Arabidopsis thaliana: one gene and its partner. The protein of the gene in region 2 interacts with the protein of the main gene of each other region in a biochemical or structural test. Each region holds a gene or a part of one and is shown on either strand. Other genes may lie near its edges.

Evidence for each region.
Region 1: the proteins of AT5G12900 (region 2) and AT3G56370 form a complex in vitro, tested with the Arabidopsis thaliana proteins (one study listed by BioGRID).

The regions. Positions count from the first base shown.
Region 1 is NC_003074.8:20,898,029-20,904,711, reverse strand, and holds AT3G56370 (Leucine-rich repeat protein kinase family protein), read left to right. Parts: upstream 1-1,631; 5' UTR 1,632-1,877; intron 1,878-2,251; 5' UTR 2,252-2,321; coding exon 2,322-3,751; intron 3,752-3,844; coding exon 3,845-5,309; 3' UTR 5,310-5,613; downstream 5,614-6,683.
Region 2 is NC_003076.8:4,070,757-4,076,683, reverse strand, and holds AT5G12900 (DNA double-strand break repair RAD50 ATPase), read left to right. Parts: upstream 1-2,064; 5' UTR 2,065-2,238; coding exon 2,239-2,457; intron 2,458-3,063; coding exon 3,064-4,533; 3' UTR 4,534-4,788; downstream 4,789-5,927. Other genes in the region: AT5G12890 (UDP-Glycosyltransferase superfamily protein), read left to right, coding at 5,560-5,927.

The sequences.
Region 1 (6,683 bases), on a different chromosome or scaffold from region 2:
GCTGCGAGTCGCATTTCTTTAGTTCAATTTGTTTTCTTTCCTGAAATATAATTCGGACTGTAGAACTTTGATAAGCCTTATTATTATCTGAGCCCATTTATCGTTTCTCATTAATGGGCCTCTAATGGAAGAGTTGGACCCATCTTATCCGTAGTTATTTACCATGGAATAAAAAATGAAACTGTAAGTAATCAATAATTAAATAAATATAAGAAAATTTGGAATTTTACATCACCGGAAAGTAAATATTTTACCTTTTAATGGCTGGTCCTAAATGCCAATCCTGATATGACAGAGGAAGATTCGAGTAAAAATTGAATGTGGAAATAAATACTAACTGTAGAAAACAAACAAAGGGTAAATTCTTCATATAGATGGAAAGCGAAGAACAGTAAATGTGAATTCGCTACGGTCCGGCTCACACTGCCCAAAAAATTCCTCGAAAGCTCTTAAAAACAGTAGTAAATTTGACCCTATATTTTTAGAATACATTAAAAAGTAAAAAAGGCCTCTTTGTTAAATTGCAAATAGAAACAAATAGTAAATTCCAAAATTTCCATGAAGGGTTGTTTTCCTTCCATGGGGAAAAGAGTTATTTTTCATTGTTTATTTCATAATAAATAACTTTTACTGTCAAAAGGAATATAAAATTTTAAAACATAGGTATGGGAGAGAGACCGAAGTCTGATAAAATGTCTTGACTCGGACCAAATCTCAAACGAGAAAGACAACAATTAAAAAAATTCCAAGAGCATGCTTAACGGATTATAATATTTTTTTCAACATCATTTGTTCTATTATCTGTTTTTTTTAATGTTTTATTTTATGGCAATAAGTGTTTGACACTTAGTTATTCAACCGCATTTCAATCTGTAGGAAAAGTTTACATAATGTATGATTCCTTGCACAAACAGAAGATCCAAAATTTACATCTGTAGCTCCTCCAAGTCAACCAAAATCCTTAGGTTTGTGATCCAATTTCAAAACCCCATAATTTTTCAAGAAAATTTGTAAACCCATAATTAATAAGTTTGATGCATTGACTACTGACCAGGACATTGTACATAAATGAACAATAACATTATGGTTGCAATTATTAATGATCTCTAAGCACCACAAAATATTTTTTCCAGGACACCATCATCATTCCTCACCAACTTACTTTAATGTTCTTACTTCAAAAAACAAAATAGAGAATCAAAATAAAAAAATGAAAAACCAAAACTATGGTGACCACTTTAACCACTGTCTCTTTCTGCATAATTTTTTACCCAAAATACCAATTCTCTGCATGAGAATAACAGAACCAACCACATTCCACATTATTTCCATTTTATGTGAAAGATTATTTTCTAATTAGTTGAATCATACCAAGAGGCCACAGAGCAGCATGTAAACCCATTAAAGAAAGTTTCTATTATTTGGGAAGGATAATTTAGTCATATTCAAATTTATAGTTTCTTTCTTTATGAGTTGGCCAATCATTTATTCATTTTCCCACTTACTATACCAACACAAAATAAAAATAAAAGCCACGTGTCAGCCAAGTCGGATTCGTCAAACCCAACAAAATAAATACACGTGTCAATTAAAGAGTTTTAATGAGTCCACCCACCTTCCTCGGGCCCCACACTCTCTTCTTTCCAGCCCGTTGATAAAGGCAGCTTTTAATTACTCTCTCTGCTCTCTTTTTTTTTCTTTATTGGCTTTTTTCTCTTCTTCCCAAATTCACTCTTCTTTTAAAGCTACAAAACCTAACAAAGTTGAAGAAGAAGAAGAAGCTCGTGCTCTCTCACTTTCTTTTCCTACGGTGTTTTTTTTCCCCCTGAGCTGCAACATTCTTCGTCGGAAATCTTCCCGGAGAAAATTCTTACTAGGTGAGAATTCCTCATTTCCAGATCGTAACTGTCCAATGACTCCTTTACTTAAAAAAACTCAAGTTATTTTGCTCAACATTTACTTCAGCCATTCACTTGAAGGTTGAATATTTCTTCAATTTCTATGAATTTCAAGTAAACTGTAGCTACTTCTATTCATATAACTAGCCTTTGTTTTACCGGATTTTTCTTCATTGTTTTTTGCTTTGTTTTGCTTCCTCCGTTGGCCGAAATGTAGCCGTTGAGATAGATTTTTGTTCTTTTCTTCTACTAAATCTAACGCCTAAGAATACGAACAAACAAAGTTTTTGTTTTGAGATGTACTGTTTTTTTTTTTCTCTTGTGTTCACCAATTTTCTTCTTTCTAATTTCAGCTCTACATAACTGAAAATGGAGGTCTTCCGCAACTAAAATCTGTTCAACGGAGAAGAGGGTTGTGGAAAGATGTACAAAGCACTGATTTTTACAGTCTTGTTGGTGTCGGCAGTAGCTCCGGTGAGATCTCTAGACCCGCCTTTAAACGACGACGTTTTAGGGCTCATTGTCTTCAAAGCCGATTTACGAGATCCAGAGCAAAAGCTAGCTTCTTGGAACGAAGATGACTACACTCCTTGTAGTTGGAACGGAGTCAAATGCCATCCGAGGACGAATCGAGTCACTGAGTTAAATCTAGATGGCTTCTCTCTGTCTGGTCGAATTGGTCGTGGCCTACTTCAGCTTCAGTTTCTTCATAAGCTCTCTCTGTCCAACAACAATCTCACGGGAATCATTAACCCTAATATGCTGCTGAGCCTTGTTAACCTTAAGGTTGTTGACTTGAGTAGCAATGGCTTGTCTGGTTCGCTTCCTGATGAGTTTTTCAGGCAATGTGGGTCATTAAGAGTTTTATCTCTGGCGAAGAACAAACTAACGGGGAAGATTCCGGTTAGTATAAGCTCGTGCTCGTCTCTTGCTGCTTTAAACTTGTCTTCCAATGGTTTTTCTGGTTCTATGCCTTTGGGGATTTGGTCTTTGAACACTCTAAGATCACTTGATTTGTCGAGGAATGAGTTAGAGGGAGAGTTTCCAGAGAAGATAGATAGATTGAACAACTTGCGTGCGCTTGATTTGAGTAGAAACCGGTTATCTGGTCCTATTCCTAGCGAAATTGGGAGCTGTATGCTGCTGAAGACTATTGATCTTAGTGAAAACTCTCTATCAGGAAGCTTACCAAATACATTTCAGCAGCTCAGTTTGTGTTATTCTCTGAACTTGGGAAAGAATGCGTTAGAAGGTGAAGTTCCAAAGTGGATAGGAGAAATGAGGAGTCTTGAGACTTTGGATCTTTCCATGAATAAGTTTTCAGGGCAGGTTCCAGACTCCATAGGCAACCTTCTAGCACTGAAAGTTCTCAACTTTTCTGGGAATGGGCTTATTGGTAGCTTGCCGGTCTCAACAGCCAACTGTATCAACCTCTTGGCCTTAGATTTAAGTGGGAATTCACTAACTGGAAAGCTTCCCATGTGGCTATTTCAAGATGGTTCTCGTGATGTGTCTGCATTAAAGAATGATAACTCTACTGGAGGTATCAAGAAGATCCAGGTTTTGGATCTCTCCCACAATGCATTCTCTGGCGAGATTGGAGCTGGTCTAGGAGATCTTAGAGACCTGGAGGGATTGCATCTGTCCAGAAACTCTCTTACCGGCCCCATCCCCAGTACCATTGGGGAACTAAAGCACTTGAGCGTCCTTGATGTGAGTCACAATCAGCTCAATGGAATGATTCCTCGAGAAACAGGTGGAGCTGTTTCTTTGGAGGAGTTGAGACTTGAAAATAACTTGTTGGAGGGAAATATTCCATCTTCCATCAAGAATTGCAGTTCCCTTCGGTCTTTGTAAGTCTCTTTTGCTTTAGGTTGCATTCTGTTAAGATTTTCCCATTGAAGATTATGTCTTAACTGTGTTCTGTTTCATGCTTCTTTCTACAGGATCCTGTCACATAACAAGCTGCTAGGCTCAATTCCACCAGAGCTCGCTAAACTTACAAGACTCGAAGAAGTCGACTTATCATTTAATGAACTGGCCGGAACACTTCCTAAACAGTTGGCTAATCTCGGCTATCTTCACACATTCAACATATCTCATAACCATCTCTTTGGGGAACTACCTGCAGGTGGAATCTTCAACGGTTTATCCCCAAGTTCAGTATCAGGAAACCCGGGAATTTGCGGTGCTGTTGTCAATAAGTCTTGTCCTGCCATCTCCCCTAAACCGATTGTGTTGAATCCTAATGCAACTTTCGATCCTTACAATGGTGAAATAGTGCCTCCAGGTGCTGGTCACAAAAGGATACTGCTTAGTATATCTTCTTTGATAGCCATTAGTGCTGCTGCAGCCATTGTGGTTGGTGTAATAGCCATCACGGTACTTAATCTGAGAGTGCGCGCATCAACGGTTTCAAGATCAGCAGTACCGCTCACGTTCTCAGGCGGAGATGACTTCAGTCGATCTCCCACTACTGATAGCAACTCAGGGAAGCTGGTGATGTTCTCTGGTGAACCTGATTTCAGCACTGGAACACATGCTCTGCTTAACAAAGACTGTGAGCTTGGTCGAGGTGGATTTGGAGCGGTGTACAGAACAGTTATCAGAGATGGGTATCCTGTAGCTATCAAGAAGCTCACTGTCTCGAGTCTTGTCAAGTCTCAGGACGAATTCGAAAGAGAGGTGAAGAAACTTGGAAAACTCAGGCATTCGAATCTGGTTAAACTCGAAGGATATTACTGGACAACTTCTCTCCAGCTTCTGATCTATGAGTTTCTCTCTGGTGGGAGTTTATACAAACAGTTGCACGAAGCACCAGGAGGTAATAGTTCGCTTTCTTGGAATGATCGGTTCAACATTATCCTTGGTACAGCGAAATGCTTAGCTTACTTGCACCAATCAAACATCATCCACTACAACATCAAATCGAGCAACGTGTTGCTAGACAGCTCTGGTGAGCCTAAAGTAGGAGACTACGGATTAGCGAGGCTGTTACCTATGCTAGATAGGTACGTGCTGAGTAGCAAGATACAGAGTGCGTTGGGATACATGGCTCCAGAGTTTGCTTGTAGAACGGTGAAAATAACAGAGAAATGTGATGTTTATGGATTTGGAGTCTTGGTCCTTGAAGTGGTTACAGGTAAAAAGCCTGTGGAGTATATGGAAGATGATGTTGTGGTTTTGTGTGATATGGTGAGAGAAGCTCTTGAAGATGGAAGAGCAGATGAATGTATTGACCCAAGGCTGCAAGGGAAGTTTCCGGTAGAAGAAGCGGTTGCAGTGATAAAGCTAGGGCTTATTTGCACTTCTCAGGTTCCATCAAGTAGACCACATATGGGAGAAGCTGTTAACATATTGAGGATGATCAGATGCCCTTCAGGGAGCTCAGATGAGTTGGGTTCAAGTTGAAAAGAAGGTTAAAGACTAACATGTTTTTTCACCAAGTTCCGGCGAAGAGGAATCCGGTTTGTTCATTTGGGGGTTTTAAGAGAAATCCTTGTTTGTGTTTGTTTTTTGATAATCTCTTATGTGTTATCTTTTGTGTCTGTTAGTTTCAATTTCAATGTTTGTAGCTTCTTCTATTTATTGTTCTTGTAACATTTTTAGGGCTGTATCGGATTTGTCTTCACCGGGTTCCATAATATGGGACTCTTTCGATGAAATCTTAAGTATTATTATGAAAGAAAGCCTGTAGTCTTCATTTCAGGTTCTGAACCATCTTTTAGCAGTCGTAGAAGATAAGAGCTTTCTTGTGAGACAAATAAAAACTTAGGGTTGAGAAAAACAAGAATCAAGATAAAACTTAGTGACTTCGTGTGATGATGCTCTCTGAACAAAGAGAGTATAAAATAACTTAAGAAGCTTCATTTGTTGTAACCATGTGCATGGGACTCTGTGAAAACTCAACAATTTAATGGGTCTGATCTTTTATTGGATTATGGGAATCGAAGAAACGTCTCAAGAATCTGTAATTAAAATACATTATTCATTAGTATCTTTTTGAGGGATAATATAAGTACATTTTTAACAGAAGAACCCTAGTTTCAATGGCCGATAAAAGAGGAATGGAGCATGCCTTGTCTGAAACAGACCACGTTTTTCTCTCTTGGAGTTGGGAAAGACGAAATTAGTACTACAATCTACGTTGTCTAGCCTCGGTAATTTGCAACATTTTGACATTTTAACTCATAAGTTAAAAATCCATTTCAATATTGTACATGATAGCATTAAAGTGAGATGGCATCTAACGTTTTGACTTTCTAAGCCAAATATGCTAACACTTTTTTTTTCCATTTGAAATGGAACCTGAAAAAATAAGTTACTTAAGGGACATTTTCCATTTATAATTTTTTTCTTTTTCCATATACAGCTTATTATTATATTACCGATCAATTCTTCGGTTTATAACTAGGTTGGAGAAAAAAATAATTCATCTTTCTATACACATTTTTTCATGTCATTAATATATACAGCTTATTAATATATGAGTTAATTCCTCTAGGTTAGCTTATACAGTATATATGTCATTTTCATTTATTGGATTATTTCCAAAAAAATCCCAAAAAGGAACCTTGTATAAACCAAAAAAATAAAAAAATAAGATTGTGAAATGTTAAAAAAAAAATATATATAATGGTGATCATAATTAAGCCATAACTTAAGAGTCTTAGATGGTGATGCCAATAATTTAGAGGTGGTTGATTAAGTGTAATCATTCACTTCCGTAAGTCCGATCGTGAAATGTCTTGTGCTGCTAAATGTGTATCGCTTGTCAAAGTCATA
Region 2 (5,927 bases):
GAAATGAGGTAAATGTGAGATTCCAACACTAGAGTACTTTCACGTATACAATTATGTACACTATCTTACCTAAAGGATATTTTGTGAAAAATGGACCGAGAACTTACTTATACTACAGAGGCAAACACATGCTTTATTTGCTTGCCCTCAAGACGGGCTCTGTAAGACTATAACTACCAATCAAAATGCAAACTACTTTGATAGAATTACTAAAACTAACCCATCGTCAGTTTGCACCAATAAGCATTCATAAATACTTACCAATAAAGTTTCTATCTTTTGTCCAAAAGAAAAAGTTTCTATATATCTAGGTTTTGAAAAAACCTATCCTCGAAACTATAATGCTTCAATAGATCTTTAATAGCATGTATGGCCCGGTAGATAGAACAATGATGTAAAAGCCCATAGTATAATAGGTCTATACTAGTGCTGGATCTCAATGGAAGTGAAACAGGTGATTCTTAAGTAGAGATTATACAAATCTTTTTCAGTAATCGTATATTTAAAAAATTATTTTGGTTTAAACGTGCTTAACACCTGAAACAACCCAATTATGTGTTGGAAATATAGTAGCTATATCAATTCTTATAAATTTTTGTACTTGTAACATCATCTATAAGAATCTAGAATACTATGGATAAGAAGTCAAAACCCAACTGATTACATTTTGAGACTGTTGAAAGAAATATGTTTAAAAACGATCAACCTTATAGAAATGGTAACAAAGAAGTGTAGTAAAAAACAAATGCCCGGTTCATTCGCAAGAAAAGGCAAAAAGGCTATAAGGCATTACATACTTTAACGCATGTGGAAGTTTTTTTTCAAAACGCTTTATTAGGTTTAGGCTATTTGTACTTTATATATGGGTTTGGTGGGTTTGGTTTTGAAAGTTAAGCACAATTACTTAACAATGATTTTCTCATCATTAAATAAATAAAACAGTGTAATCCTTTTTTCTTAGTTTCTTGACTTCTTCTTCTCTTGCTGATGTAAACAACTCGACTTTACAACATTATTGTAAAACAACTCTTAAGACATGGTCAGTCCCACACGGAATTCTATCTTCTACTAAACAAAATTCATTTTGTCAGAAAGTCATCCTAGCTTTTTTTAACTAAGGTATGGCCTATTTCTTTTTGTAATTTACCCATTCTTCTAAGATATATATGACCTACTAATATTATCAAATTGATGTTGACTTGAATATACACCATAATCATTTAATTTTGCTTGAGGTCTCTAAGTGGTTGCTATAGATTTTGAAACAGTTGAGTTGATCCTTGTTATATTTTCCAATGACATGTGTGTTACACTGTTACTATTGAAAGACATTTTAATCATTTATATAAAATTCATTTTAGACTATGACTTTTCTTTTGTCAACAAACTACAGTATATGATTCTTTGAAGTATACAGATTTTGAAAATCTTTATAATATACAAATTTACAATGTATAACGGGATAGCATTTCTCTTTGTTTTTGTGTTCCTACATAATAATATCAATGCTGACTTGTATATATTTATCATAAATAGATATTATCCCTAGTTTTAGTTTTTCCTATTTTCTTAGTATAATAATCTTTGATTTTCTAGAGCTTTTAAATGAATAACACATATCTCTTTAGTAATAGAATTCCCTAGAACAAACCACATACTCTTGTTTTTCTTTTAATAATAGATGTTTGGATGGAAAAAAATCCAGTAATCTATATCCAACAATTGTCTTACCCATTTATCCGAAAGATACAACAAAGCTTATAGAAAATCATGTCTCAGATAAACATTTTGATTTACAATTAATAACATCATAAAACAGTGGAAATGTGTTTAGCAGTAGATAAGATAACAATTATGTAAAAAAACTGGAATTAGCTTTTGTAAACTGTTCAATAATTCTGATATGTTACCATATTAACCAAAAAACAAAATGAGAAAAGTGAGAAAAAAAATGAAAAGAAACAAAAAAGGAGGGTATTATCGTAAACATAAAAAATGGTCTCTGCCCTTCACATGCGTTCTTTCTATCAGTCCTTTTAAGAGAAGGGAGACAGAACATTCTTTGGATTTTCTATCTCTCTCTCTCTCTCTCTCTCTCTCTTCTTCACACACACAGAGACATCATCCTCTTCACACCCTTTTCTTTTGCACAATCGCATTCACTATCTCTTCTCTCTCTTTTGTGTCACATCCTTCTCTTCTCTTCTAAGTTCTAATCTTGTACTATCTTGTTCTACCATGGCTTCTTCTGAAACAAGAATGAACAAGGCAAGAGAAAAAGAAGAAGCCATAGCAAATGGAGTGAAGTTGAGAGCACTTCAAGCGAGTCTTATGCAGATGAAGTCAAGCCCATCTTCCAATTACAGTCTCAGAAACCCTTCTTCCTCTTCTGCTGCTTCACCTGCTTCTCGTCCTCTCCCTAACCTCTCTGCTCATGATTACCCTGTTTTCACTCCTGTAACTCTCTCTCTCTCTCTCTCTCTCTCTCTCTCTCTCTCTCTCTCTCTCTCTCTCTCTCTCTCTCTCTCTCTCTCTTTTCTCTTTTCCCACTTATCATTCTTCTTGGTTCCATGAGTTTGTTCTCTTTTTCTTGTGTCTCACTTGATTGATTTTTCGACATTATGTATGGGAATTTGGGTTTTGTTCAAACGCTTTTGGAGTTTTTAAAACTTTTTTTTATAATTTCACCAAACCCGAGATTTATTTGGTTAAACCCGGTTCAGGCTCGTTAATTATTGTCATTGCAGTATTCAATTTAGATAATACGTTTCTTAATTTATTGTACCATGTAGTTGTGTGTTTTGGATCTTCAAAAATGGTTCATTAATTCGAAAAGAATGTCAAAAATACATTATAGTATAGTAATAATTTGGTTAGTCCCTTTAATAATTTAACCACTGTTGAGTGTTAAAAGTATTAAGACAAACAGAAAAAGACCTGAATTCGGTAGAACCACTTTGTCTTTAGCAGACCACTGTTCTGAATTTGGACAAAAGTTACTGTGCTTTTTAACTTACAACACACATTTCTCTGCTAACTTTGTCTGTTGGTGTCTTGGAACAGAGCTATGAAGATGAGCCTGTGTCTGCATTTCATCACAAGAATCTCACTTTATCTGAGACTTGGGATGAAGATGGTGTTGGTTTAGTAGATGGAGATACTTATCTCTCTGATTCTTACAAAACCTCAACTTCAAGAAAGACTGTGATGATGCCTCATCAAGATTCTCATCATCATGTTTACACTATGTCGGACGCTCTCAGATCTCCACCGTTACATTTTTATACAACCGGTAGAAGCAACTGTGGCTCGGTCGACTTTAGATCGGTCTCTTCTTGCAATGACTACAATAAACAAAAAGGTTTCGACACGAAGAGCTTGAAGAGCTCTAATCTTGTTGTGCCCTTGACGGATTCGCACTCTGCTGTTGTTTCTTCTCAGCCAAGAAACCGTGGAGGTAGAGTAATGTCTTGGTTATTCCCTAAGTTAAAGAAGAAACAAAAGAGTAATTCGATCTTTAATTCACCTAGTATAACTGAGAAGTCAGAGGAAGTTTCTGAGGTGTTGAAGGATTCTGGTTCTGGTGTTGAGAAGTTGAAGAGAGAATTGATGGAAGCAAACAGAAGTAGGGATGCTGCGTTAACACAAGTCTCAGAGATGAAATCTTCATTGGGAGAGTTAAGTGAGAAGCTTCAGTACTTGGAAAGTTACTGTGACAATTTAAAGAAAGCTTTGAGAGAAGCAACAGAAGTAGTGTCACAGGAGAATAGTGGTGGAAGAAGCTCAGGGAAAAAGAACTCAGAGATGCCAGTGAGTGAAGAAGTGATGGTTGAAGGGTTCTTGCAGATTGTATCAGAAGCAAGATTATCGATAAAGCAGTTCTTGAAAACATTAGTTTCAGAGATTGATGAAGAAGACTCGACTCTAATTGGTAACATCAACACTCTCCTTCAACCTCACAACTTATCATTCACTTCTAAGTACTCCAAGATCATTCAGTACCACTTAGAAGCAATCATAAGCCAATCAGTATACCAAGACTTTGAGAACTGCGTATTCCAGAAGAACGGTAAGCCGAAACTGCTTGATCCGGAACAAGATCGACAAGCGAACTTCTCGTCCTTTGCTTCCTTGAGAAACTTGAGCTGGAACGAGGTATTGAAAAAGGGTACAAAATACTACAGTGATGAGTTCAGTAGATTCTGCGATGAGAAGATGAGTTTGATCATTACAACATTGAATTGGACAAGACCTTGGTCAGAACAAATGCTTCAAGCATTCTTTGTGGCTGCAAAATGTGTATGGTTGCTTCATTTGCTTGCCTTCTCGTTCAATCCAGCGTTAGGGATATTGAGAGTTGAGGAGAACAGAGAGTTTGAATCAAGTTTTATGGAAGATATGGGTGCAGATAGGCAGAGATCAGCATTGTCCCGTGGACCGGCACGGGTTAAGGTTATGGTAATGCCTGGGTTTTATGTTTTAGATAGGGTTTTGAGATGTAAGGTTCTTTGCAGGTACAAGTCATTGGGCTGAACTGAAGAGAGTCACACTCACTCTAGTCTAATCAAAATTGATTGGTTCTTAATTAACTTTTCTTATTGTTAATCTCTTGTGTTTCTTCTACCTAGGCTTTTTTTTACTGGTCTTTTTACACTTTGTTAAGAATTATTATAGGTTTTTAAATATTGTCAAATACTACTTGTCAAGGAGATTTTGTATTTTTACATTTTTGTATTGATGGAAAAGTATTGAATATGCACATTTGTGATTTATTTATTTATTTGCCGGCAGCACATTTGTGATTTAGATAATCAAAAATGTACATAGGCTAATAAGAACGCAAATATTAAATGTGGGCCGTAACAAATATTAGATTGTAAGATAGGCCCATTCACTTTTTTTGTTGCTTCCATATATTGTGTGTCAGGCCCAAGAGAATTTATATTAGGGGACCTCTTTTCTTCTATAGTAATAGGACGATGTCCCATACGCATTTTAGCTGCAGCTGCATCTAGCTATTGGTAATGGTATGTACATAAGTTCTTGAACTGTTCGGCGTTTATATAAGCTCAGTTCAATGAGTTGCTATTTTTTTCAAGATAGAAAATAATAATAATATATATATTAAAGAGTTTACATTTTGCTGTTTCTACTATAAATTTGATACAAATGCAATGAATATACTCTTATAAGTAGATTCATGAATACATGCCTAACTTTGTGGAAAATCATCACGTTTTTCACAATATGGACGAATGAGGAAAAAAAATTAGAGAGCAACAAAAAAAGGCCAAGGTCACACACCAATAATAATATTTCATGGAAAAAGTAAAAAAGAATTGACGAATGAGAGGAAACGAAAAGTGATTTTACCAATAGCCCCTTCCCTTTTAAAGTGATAAATAAATGTAGTCAATCTTGAAACTCTGTTTAAGTCTTTATTGTCAGACCAAAAACACACATTTTCTCTTGTCTAAATCTGAACCGTTATCGATACGGCAAAAATACAACCCCAAATCTATCCATCTCTCTCTCTATCTATCTTTTTTTTCCTCGGCAATGGCGGAAGCTAAACCCAGAAATCTGAGAATCGTGATGTTCCCTTTCATGGGACAAGGCCATATCATCCCGTTTGTAGCTTTAGCCCTTCGTTTAGAGAAGATTATGATTATGAACAGAGCCAACAAAACCACCATCTCTATGATCAATACTCCTTCGAACATCCCCAAAATACGCTCCAATCTTCCACCTGAATCCTCCATAAGTCTCATAGAGTTACCTTTCAACAGCTCTGATCATGGCCTTCCTCACGACGGCGAGAATTTCGATTCTCTTCCTTACTCTCTCGTCATCAGCCTTCTTGAAGCTTCTAGGTCGCTTCGTGAGCCCTTTCGAGACTTCATGACGAAGATCTTGAAGGAAGAAGG